2 linked regions of the Saccharomyces cerevisiae S288C genome follow. The gene in region 1 interacts genetically with each later gene. Each region holds a gene or a part of one and is shown in the gene's direction. Other genes may lie near its edges.

Evidence for each region. Genes that interact genetically often act in the same process or in processes that back each other up.
Region 2: mutations in PEX7 (region 1) and OLA1 together harm fitness less than expected from each alone (positive genetic interaction), as found in Saccharomyces cerevisiae (one large-scale study listed by BioGRID).

The regions. Positions count from the first base shown.
Region 1 is NC_001136.10:739,164-744,393, reverse strand, and holds PEX7 (Pex7p), read left to right. Parts: upstream 1-2,793; coding exon 2,794-3,921; downstream 3,922-5,230. Other genes in the region: MKC7 (aspartyl protease), read left to right, coding at 1-83; ubiquitin-protein ligase SAN1, read left to right, coding at 520-2,352; DOP1 (Dop1p), read left to right, coding at 4,397-5,230. UniProt on the Saccharomyces cerevisiae protein: Receptor required for the peroxisomal import of proteins containing a C-terminal PTS2-type peroxisomal targeting signal, such as 3-oxoacyl-CoA thiolase. Specifically binds to cargo proteins containing a PTS2 peroxisomal targeting signal in the cytosol.
Region 2 is NC_001134.8:289,710-294,602, reverse strand, and holds OLA1 (Obg-like ATPase), read left to right. Parts: upstream 1-2,737; coding exon 2,738-3,922; downstream 3,923-4,893. Other genes in the region: putative protein kinase YPK3, read left to right, coding at 1-178; YBR027C (uncharacterized protein), read left to right, coding at 247-579; ETR1 (enoyl-[acyl-carrier-protein] reductase), read left to right, coding at 584-1,726; putative thioredoxin peroxidase SCO2, read right to left, coding at 4,253-4,893. UniProt on the Saccharomyces cerevisiae protein: Hydrolyzes ATP, and can also hydrolyze GTP with lower efficiency. Has lower affinity for GTP.

The DNA.
Region 1 (5,230 bases):
CTACGAGAAAAGAAAACGGAGGACACAATCTGAATCCTCCATTTTTCGCCAGGTTCATTACAGCTATTTTTCATCACATTTGATAAATCCCTCCCTCCATATAAGCATTTACTAGACTTTAAAAGTTGCAATGTATATCTGGAGGTATAACATTGTACATTACTTGAAAGAAAAGCGTCTTTTAACGTAAAATAAATAATACTGTTCTTTTTTATTGTTACTGGCTTCTTAATCAACAATTATATACTTCGACGCAAAAAGCCGGGTAAAACATTCTATCTGCCATTGTCAAAAAATATGAAAGAATTTTTTACATATAACTACATTGCATTAGTATCACCAAATCAATAATGAAATAATAGCTAAAAACTATATATTGAAGGAAATATAGTTTATCATATATATCCTCTAGTGAAGCTACTATAGATAGAAATTATTTAGCATTTCAGGATAGTTCGTTTCTCCCTTTTTTCCCCTTTGTTTTCTCTCATAGTCTTGTAACCTCAGCTTTTGTTCATTATGAGTGAAAGTGGTCAAGAACAAAACAGAGGCACAAATACATCACCAAATAATGCTGAAAATAATAATAATTCAAATGCAGCTTCCGGTCCACTCAATGGTGGTGCTGAGCAAACAAGAAACATAACCGTTTCCATTCAGTATTCCTATTTCACTCCGGAGAGATTAGCACATTTGAGCAATATATCTAATAATGATAATAACGAAAACAACAGCGCAGCATCCGGTAGCACGATTGCCAACGGTACTGGGCCCAGCTTTGGCATCGGAAATGGGGGCCATCAACCCGACGGTGCTCTTGTTTTATCTTTTCGTGATGTTCCTGCGTCTACTCCACAAGACCGTTTGAACAGCTTCATATCTGTTGCTGCTCAGCTTGCAATGGAGAGATTCAACAGACTATTAAATAGACCAAAAGGAATATCAAAGGATGAGTTTGATAAGCTCCCCGTTCTGCAAGTTTCTGATCTACCCAAGGCCGAAGGGCCCTTATGTAGTATATGTTATGACGAATATGAAGATGAAGTTGATTCAACTAAAGCAAAAAGAAAAAGGGATTCTGAAAATGAGGAGGAATCTGAAGGAACAAAAAAAAGGAAGGATAATGAAGGTGCGCCCCTACGCACAACCGCCGATAATGACAGTAACCCATCGATTACAAATGCTACGGTTGTTGAACCGCCTTCTATTCCTCTCACTGAACAACAACGCACTCTCAATGATGAAGAAACAAATCCAAGCTACAAACACTCACCAATCAAGTTACCTTGTGGCCACATTTTTGGGAGGGAATGTATCTACAAATGGTCAAGATTAGAAAATTCTTGTCCCCTTTGTAGACAAAAGATCAGCGAATCTGTAGGTGTTCAACGTGCAGCCCAACAAGATACGGATGAAGTAGCAGCTAACGAAGCTGCTTTTGAACGTATTAGACGAGTTTTATACGACCCAACTGCAGTGAATAGCACTAACGAAAATAGTTCCGCCCCATCCGAAAACACGTCCAATACAACGGTTCCCACTATCGGAAATGCAAGTTCTGGCGAACAGATGTTATCAAGAACAGGCTTTTTTTTAGTGCCTCAAAACGGCCAACCTTTACACAATCCAGTCCGTTTACCGCCTAATGATAGCGATAGAAACGGTGTCAACGGGCCGAGCTCAACTACTCAAAATCCACCCTCTAATTCTGGTGGTTCGAATAACAATCAAAGTCCGCGCTGGGTTCCCATCCCTTTGACTTTGTTCCAATTCCACAGTCCAAATCCGAATCCTTCCGCTTCTGATTCTTCGGCAAGCCCATCAGCAGCGAACGGTCCAAACTCAAATAACACTAGTAGTGACGCTACAGACCCTCACCACAACAGACTAAGAGCCGTTTTGGATCACATATTCAACGTTGCTCAGAGGGGAACTTCTGATACCTCTGCAACAACAGCACCCGGAGCACAAACTGTTCACAACCAAGGACGTAATGACTCATCGTCCTCTGATACAACGCAAGGAAGTTCCTTTTTGGAAAATATTTCACGATTAACAGGCCATTTTACGAATGGCTCAAGAGACAACAATAACGACAATAACCATAGCAATGATCAACAACGAGGTGGAAGTACTGGTGAGAACAACAGAAATAACTTGTTTTCCTCCGGTGTTGCCAGTTATAGAAATCAAAATGGTGATGTTACTACCGTCGAACTACGCAACAACAATTCTGCTGCCTTTCCTCCTACAGACGAAAATCCCTCTCAAGGCCAAGGTTCAAGCAGTTCGGACACCACCATTCATAACGACGTCCCTAATGATAACAATGAGCAACGATCATCACAATAAACAATACCGCTTCTGAAGTATGTTAATATGAAAATATGTCCTATTGGCAGTCATCCATTTTCAGACATTATTTTCTACTCCTTTTACCTTTTTTTTATCTGCATCTTTATATATATATATCATATACTTATTTTTCTTTACTTCTACTTAAAGTTCTATAATCATTGTTAATCAGAAATTTGCATGTCTCCAGCAAGTAAATATGAAGGCCGAGAAATTAAACCACCGACATAACCTCCTCTGAAAAGTCGTTTCGCAAAACAGTAAAAGGTGAAAACACTTTTAAGAACTGTGGAACACAAACTGTGTTTTCTTACCATAAAATCTTTTACCGGAGGTCGAAATCGTTTTCTTTCTGATTTGGAATTCGACGCTCGAAAAGTGCAGAGATCTCATATTGTTAACGGACTATCATCTAACTTTTTGCATAATTTATACAACATGCTCAGATATCATATGCAAGGTTTTAGTGGGTACGGTGTCCAGTATTCTCCCTTTTTCGATAACAGGCTCGCGGTAGCTGCTGGTTCAAACTTTGGCCTGGTTGGGAATGGAAAATTGTTCATCCTTGAGATTGATCGTTCAGGTAGAATAGTGGAAGTTAATTCCTTTTTAACACAGGATTGTTTATTTGATCTTGCATGGAACGAAAGTCATGAAAACCAAGTGTTGGTTGCACAGGGCGATGGTACATTACGCTTGTTTGATACAACCTTTAAAGAGTTTCCTATTGCTATATTTAAAGAGCATGAACGAGAAGTATTCAGTTGTAATTGGAACTTAGTCAACAGGCAGAATTTCTTAAGTAGTTCATGGGATGGATCTATAAAAATATGGTCCCCTCTAAGAAAGCAAAGTTTAATGACCCTTACTCCACGACCTTTAGAGATTACCAAAATGGTGGATCCATTAAACGCCATTATATTGAAAAAGAAAAGCTTTACAGGTATTTCAAAAAACAGGAACTGTGTATACCAAGCACAGTTCTCGCCCCACGACCAAAATCTCGTATTATCCTGTTCAGGGAATTCTTATGCAAGCTTATTTGACATTAGACTACCTTCCGGCAAAAATCAGAATAATTTTTTAGTGCATTCAGGACTAGAAGCATTGACTTGCGATTTCAACAAATACAGACCTTATGTAGTTGCCACAGGAGGTGTAGATAATGCCATTAGAATCTGGGACATTAGGATGCTAAATAAAAATGAATCAGCGACTATCAAGAGGACTGTGCCCGGCCAACTTCACAATTCATCATGCATCAATGAAATCCCTAATGCGCACGGGCTGGCAATCAGAAAAGTTACCTGGTCCCCTCATCATTCCAATATTTTAATGTCAGCTTCATATGATATGACCTGTCGAATATGGAGAGATCTCAGCAACGATGGTGCAAAAGAAACATATAAAACTAACTCTACGGATGCTACTAAAGGTTCCATTTTCAATTTCACACAGCATTCAGAATTCGTATTTGGAGCTGACTGGAGCTTGTGGGGAAAGCCAGGATATGTGGCTTCAACTGCATGGGATGGAAATTTATTTGTATGGAACGGCTTAGGTTGACACATATTCTTTTTACACAAATTTTTTGCATTATTTAAACTTTAAAATTATTTTTCAATCATTGTCAGCATTTGGCAGATCATTTACGTAATTATTTAATATTCTCAACACGAAATTATGGGTAACAACGCTTCTGACTGTGCAAAAGAACATTCTAAAAACATACCTACGGCAAAAACTGCTAATTACTCAAATTAATCAAGTTTTTATAACGACATAAGCGAGTGCTGAAAGAAGGAATATTTAGAGTCCGATTACCGTTTTATTAATAAACGACATACTTATATATTTGCTGGGCGTTCCACCCGAGGCACGTGATCAAAAGTGATTTTGGTTTTTTCAAAGGCTAAGCTTCGATCTCACTGGAAAAGGAACAATAGCAATACCTAATATAAAACTCAAGCCTCCCAATTATGTTTATAACGGTGAAATAAAAAGCCGACAGAGCAGCTTTTTCTGAGAGGATCGACAAAAAATGTCCTTACCACTAAAGCCCCTTACAATTGACTCAAATAATAAACAACTAGACTCCAAACAGAAGAAGTTTCGTGCTAATGTCGAGCGAGCATTAGAAAGATTTGACTCTGTAACAGAATGGGCGGACTATATTGCTAGTTTGGGAACACTATTAAAGGCGTTGCAAAGCTGGTCACCTAAATTTCAGAATGTAAGGTACTATGTTCCTTCTCCATATCAAGTAAGTCGAAGATTGACATCCTCATTATCGCCGGCGTTACCAGCAGGTGTTCATCAGAAAACTTTAGAAGTATATACGTATATCTTTGAACATATTGGCCTTGAAACTCTGGCTACAGAATGTAACATTTGGATCCCGGGAATTTTACCTTTGATGACTTATGCCTCTATGTCTGTTAGGTCACATTTGATAGAGCTTTACGATAACTATATCCTTCTGTTGCCTCAAACAACGTTAAGACTGCTCATCAGACCTTTGATTTCTAGTTTATTGCCAGGAATTGATGATGAAAGCAACGATTTTTTACCTTTAACTTTAAAACTCATTGAGACTCTGCAGGAGAACTTGGATGATGATTCCTTATTTTGGCAAACGTTGTTTCTAGTCATGACTGCAAATAAAGGCAGAAGACTGGGCGGACTCACGTGGTTGACTAGAAAGTTTCCGTCGTTGAATGCTGTACCTCATCTAGTAAATAAAATAAAAATGGAAGCGGAAGAGAACCCAAGTGAAACTGAAACCAACGATTCTCATCTAGACAGGAAAAAAAGAAAAGAAGAAGCTTTCAAGGTCTTATTGCCTGCTGCCAAAGATTTAGTAACCCCTGAACCA
Region 2 (4,893 bases), on another chromosome or scaffold:
AGTTATTACGGATTTGGAACTAGCGGAAAATTTTGACACAGAATTTACTTCTATGTCATATGAGGAAACCTATACGGATAGCAAGCCGATTAATATCAATTCGGTGAGCAAGTCCCCGGATATGTTCAAGGGATTTAGTTATAAAGCAAGTGGTAGCTATTTGGAGAAGTACTTTTGAATTAAAAGTTAGATAGATTAAGAGAGAAGGCTCGGATCTGCACTGACTTACTTTTTTTTGTTTTTTTGATGTTTAAAGGATCTGTGTCACTGTATATACTTTGTTTTGCTTTAGGGTTACGAAACACATTTTTAATATATAATGTATGTAATAATATTAAAAACAACTGTATGGATAATACTTCTGGACCAATCGGTGATACCATCTTCCTTATTTATGGTATTATTATCATTATTGGACCCCGCCGGTGCTTTTTTTTTTACCTTAAAAGAGTGGTTCTCCTCCAAGGGACGCACGAGTGGTGTACCCAGGGGTTGTTTCCATGGCTAAAGAAATTGGAGATTACAAACGTACATTGTCATTTAAGAAGGTTCATAATCTGCCAATTACATTTGATATAACAAGATGCTTCCCACATTCAAACGTTACATGTCGTCCTCAGCTCATCAGATTCCCAAGCACTTCAAATCGCTCATCTATTCAACTCATGAAGTTGAGGATTGTACCAAGGTTTTGTCAGTGAAAAATTATACGCCTAAACAAGACTTATCTCAATCAATTGTGTTAAAAACTTTGGCCTTTCCCATAAACCCTTCGGATATCAATCAGTTGCAAGGAGTATACCCGTCTCGTCCAGAAAAGACATACGATTACTCCACAGATGAGCCAGCCGCTATCGCCGGTAATGAGGGTGTCTTTGAAGTTGTTTCTTTACCTTCGGGAAGTTCCAAGGGAGATTTGAAATTGGGTGACCGAGTTATCCCATTGCAGGCAAATCAAGGGACTTGGTCCAATTATAGAGTTTTCTCTAGTAGTTCTGATTTAATCAAGGTAAATGATTTGGATCTGTTTTCTGCGGCAACTGTATCTGTTAATGGTTGTACCGGTTTCCAATTAGTATCAGACTATATCGACTGGAACAGTAACGGTAATGAATGGATTATCCAAAATGCCGGTACATCTAGTGTATCAAAAATAGTTACGCAAGTAGCAAAAGCTAAAGGGATCAAAACATTAAGTGTTATACGTGACCGTGATAATTTTGATGAGGTAGCAAAAGTTTTGGAGGATAAGTATGGTGCTACGAAGGTTATTTCCGAATCGCAAAACAACGACAAGACTTTTGCCAAAGAAGTATTGTCCAAGATTTTGGGTGAAAATGCAAGGGTGAGGCTTGCCTTGAATTCTGTTGGAGGTAAATCCAGTGCATCAATAGCACGTAAGTTGGAAAATAATGCTTTGATGCTCACTTATGGAGGAATGTCAAAACAACCTGTAACTTTACCAACATCTCTACACATTTTCAAAGGCTTGACATCCAAAGGGTACTGGGTGACTGAAAAGAACAAAAAAAACCCCCAAAGCAAGATTGACACCATCAGTGATTTTATCAAAATGTATAATTATGGTCACATTATTTCACCAAGAGATGAAATTGAAACTCTTACCTGGAATACTAACACTACTACTGACGAACAGTTACTAGAACTAGTCAAAAAAGGTATAACTGGGAAGGGGAAGAAAAAAATGGTTGTTTTAGAATGGTAAGGGCCTTAGCATTGCTCAGAGTTAGACAACCACCAAAGATAGTATTCCTCTTTATGACATCGAGTATAGTTGCTATATAATATATACCAAGACATTAAAAAATATATGCCAGTGCTATCTTTGTAGGAGCTAATAAAAGGGGACGTCGACCCTTCAATGTATATATCGATCCTTTCACATTAGTCAGGACGAGATAATGAGCATGATGTATAAACAAACGGTAGTTAATACCAACGATAAGTTATACAACTACTGTACAATAAAAAAACATCACAATAGCAATACAGGAGTCCTATTCGCTACTTCAACTTGACAAGATCTACTAGATATAGAAATATCTAGCTTAATCAACAATTTTCCTCACTGATTGCTTCCTCCGAATGCCATTATTGGCTTTCTTGGTTCTTAAGCATGATATTACGTATAAATAGCCATTATATCAATTAGAACAAAAGATTACGTAAATGCAATTTTTCCTGAGAATGGCGTTCGAAGAAGGGCGCGTAACTCGTAGAAACCTAAGAATTCTCGTAGAGCGAAGTCTTCGGTAGGAAACGTAGTAGATTTGCAGAAGATACGCCTGTTAAACTGAAGAAAACAAATCTGAGTAGTTTCCCTTCTTTGGAGTTGAGCTTTACAACAAGTTCATATTGTTGGTGCCAATTTGCCTTGAGACAACTAAGGCAGAATGCAGTTGTTGCGTGTTACTTAATTCTCCGTATTGAATGACCACGCACAATTCCTAATTTTTTTTTTTTCTCGAAAATTCTTTTTTTTTTCACTGAAAAAATTTTTTCAAGGGCCATCCCAGCGATTTTATGACCCAAAAGGAAGGATGCAGTGAAAGTCAACTTACGTCTTCTCTCTCATACCTTTCGTTGCGAGAAATCGTATTTAGTAGTGTATTCAGTTGATAATTAGTACTAATTTTTTATTGCATTTTGCCTTTTTTAGCTTTTTGTGTTACTTCTAGTATCCGTAAAAACAATCAAATAAATAGCACTGTAAAACATGCCTCCAAAGAAGCAAGTCGAAGAAAAAAAGGTCTTATTGGGTCGTCCAGGTAATAACTTGAAAGCCGGTATTGTCGGTTTGGCCAATGTTGGTAAGTCTACCTTTTTCCAAGCCATCACTAGATGTCCATTGGGTAACCCAGCTAACTATCCATTCGCTACCATTGATCCAGAAGAAGCCCGTGTTATTGTCCCATCTCCAAGATTTGATAAGTTGTGTGAAATCTACAAGAAGACAGCTTCGGAAGTTCCAGCTCATTTGACCGTTTACGATATTGCTGGTTTGACTAAGGGTGCCTCTGCTGGTGAAGGTTTGGGTAATGCTTTCTTGTCTCACATCAGATCAGTCGATTCTATCTACCAAGTCGTTCGTTGTTTCGATGATGCTGAAATTATCCACGTTGAGGGTGACGTTGATCCAGTTCGTGATTTAGAAATTATTAACCAAGAACTAAGATTGAAAGATATTGAATTCGCACAAAAGGCTTTGGAAGGTGCTGAAAAGATTGCCAAAAGAGGTGGTCAATCTTTGGAAGTCAAACAAAAGAAGGAAGAAATGGATTTGATTACGAAAATCATTAAATTGCTAGAGAGTGGTCAAAGAGTTGCTAATCACTCCTGGACTTCAAAAGAAGTTGAAATTATCAACTCCATGTTCTTGTTGACTGCTAAGCCATGTATCTATTTGATTAATTTATCTGAAAGAGATTACATCAGAAAGAAAAACAAGCATCTGCTAAGAATCAAGGAATGGGTAGACAAGTACTCTCCAGGTGACTTGATCATTCCATTCAGTGTTTCTCTAGAAGAAAGACTATCTCATATGTCCCCAGAAGATGCTGAAGAAGAATTGAAGAAACTGCAGACAATATCTGCCTTGCCAAAGATTATCACTACCATGAGACAAAAGTTAGATTTGATTTCCTTTTTCACCTGCGGTCCAGATGAAGTTCGTGAATGGACCATCAGAAGAGGTACTAAAGCTCCACAAGCTGCTGGTGTTATTCATAACGATTTAATGAATACCTTTATTTTGGCTCAAGTTATGAAATGTGAAGATGTCTTCGAATATAAGGACGATTCTGCCATCAAGGCCGCTGGTAAGTTGATGCAAAAGGGTAAAGACTATGTCGTTGAAGACGGTGATATCATTTACTTCAGAGCTGGTGCTGGTAAGAATTGATTTCGTGCACTAAAGTTGACTTTTCTTTATTTGGTTTAGTTCCCTACTATATATCATCATAGAAATTTTCAACATGATTTTCTTGAAAGAGAAACGAAAGGAAAAAAGCAATCTCGCGAGTGGATGGCATCGGATTTTATGTATGTGTGTATGTATGTTTATTATTCCCGCATGTTTACGCCCTTAAGCCCAATTAATAATTTGAACTGACAAGCATAATCATTTGACTTTCATTTTTTTTACTATTTTTTTCTATTTACAATGTAACTGTTAAATTGAACGACCCATAAGTTCGGTATCCTAGCTGTGTCTTTTTCTTTTTTTTTTTGCTCAATTGAAGATAAAAGAGTACCATTTTTTTGACCTACGCTCCCGTTCTTCCTTTGGCACATACGCCTGAATTTGTTCACGAATCTTTTCGAGACCAGATTGCTCATCGTAGTTTCTTCCCAACGCATCGATAAACTGTCCTTCAGGGTCGATCAAATAGAAAAATATCGAATGGTCCACTAAGTAATCCTGGTTGGGCTTGACATCACGTGGAGTTGAAAAATATACCTTGTATTTTTTGCATACGCTTTTCACTTGGTCGTACGTACCGGTTAAACCAATGATAGCTGGGTGAAAATCGCTTAAGTACTCTTTCAAGACATCCGGTGTATCTCTTGCAGGATCACATGAGATAAACAATGGCTGTATCTTTATATGGTCTTTATCATCTAATTCAGAAATCCAATACGTTAATCTGTCAAGCTCTTCTGGACAAATGTCGGGGCAATGACTGAATCCAAAGTATAAAATGGAAAACTTACCCTTCAAATTCTCCTCAGTGAAAGGCTTACCATTAAAATCTGTTAAATTGAAAGGACCGCCAAGTGCTACTGAACCGTAAGCTCTGTTAGCATCTGCTTCCTTTTCAGTTTCTAGCAAGCGTCTTTTTCTTGATAAATAGGCATACGTCCCACCACTTA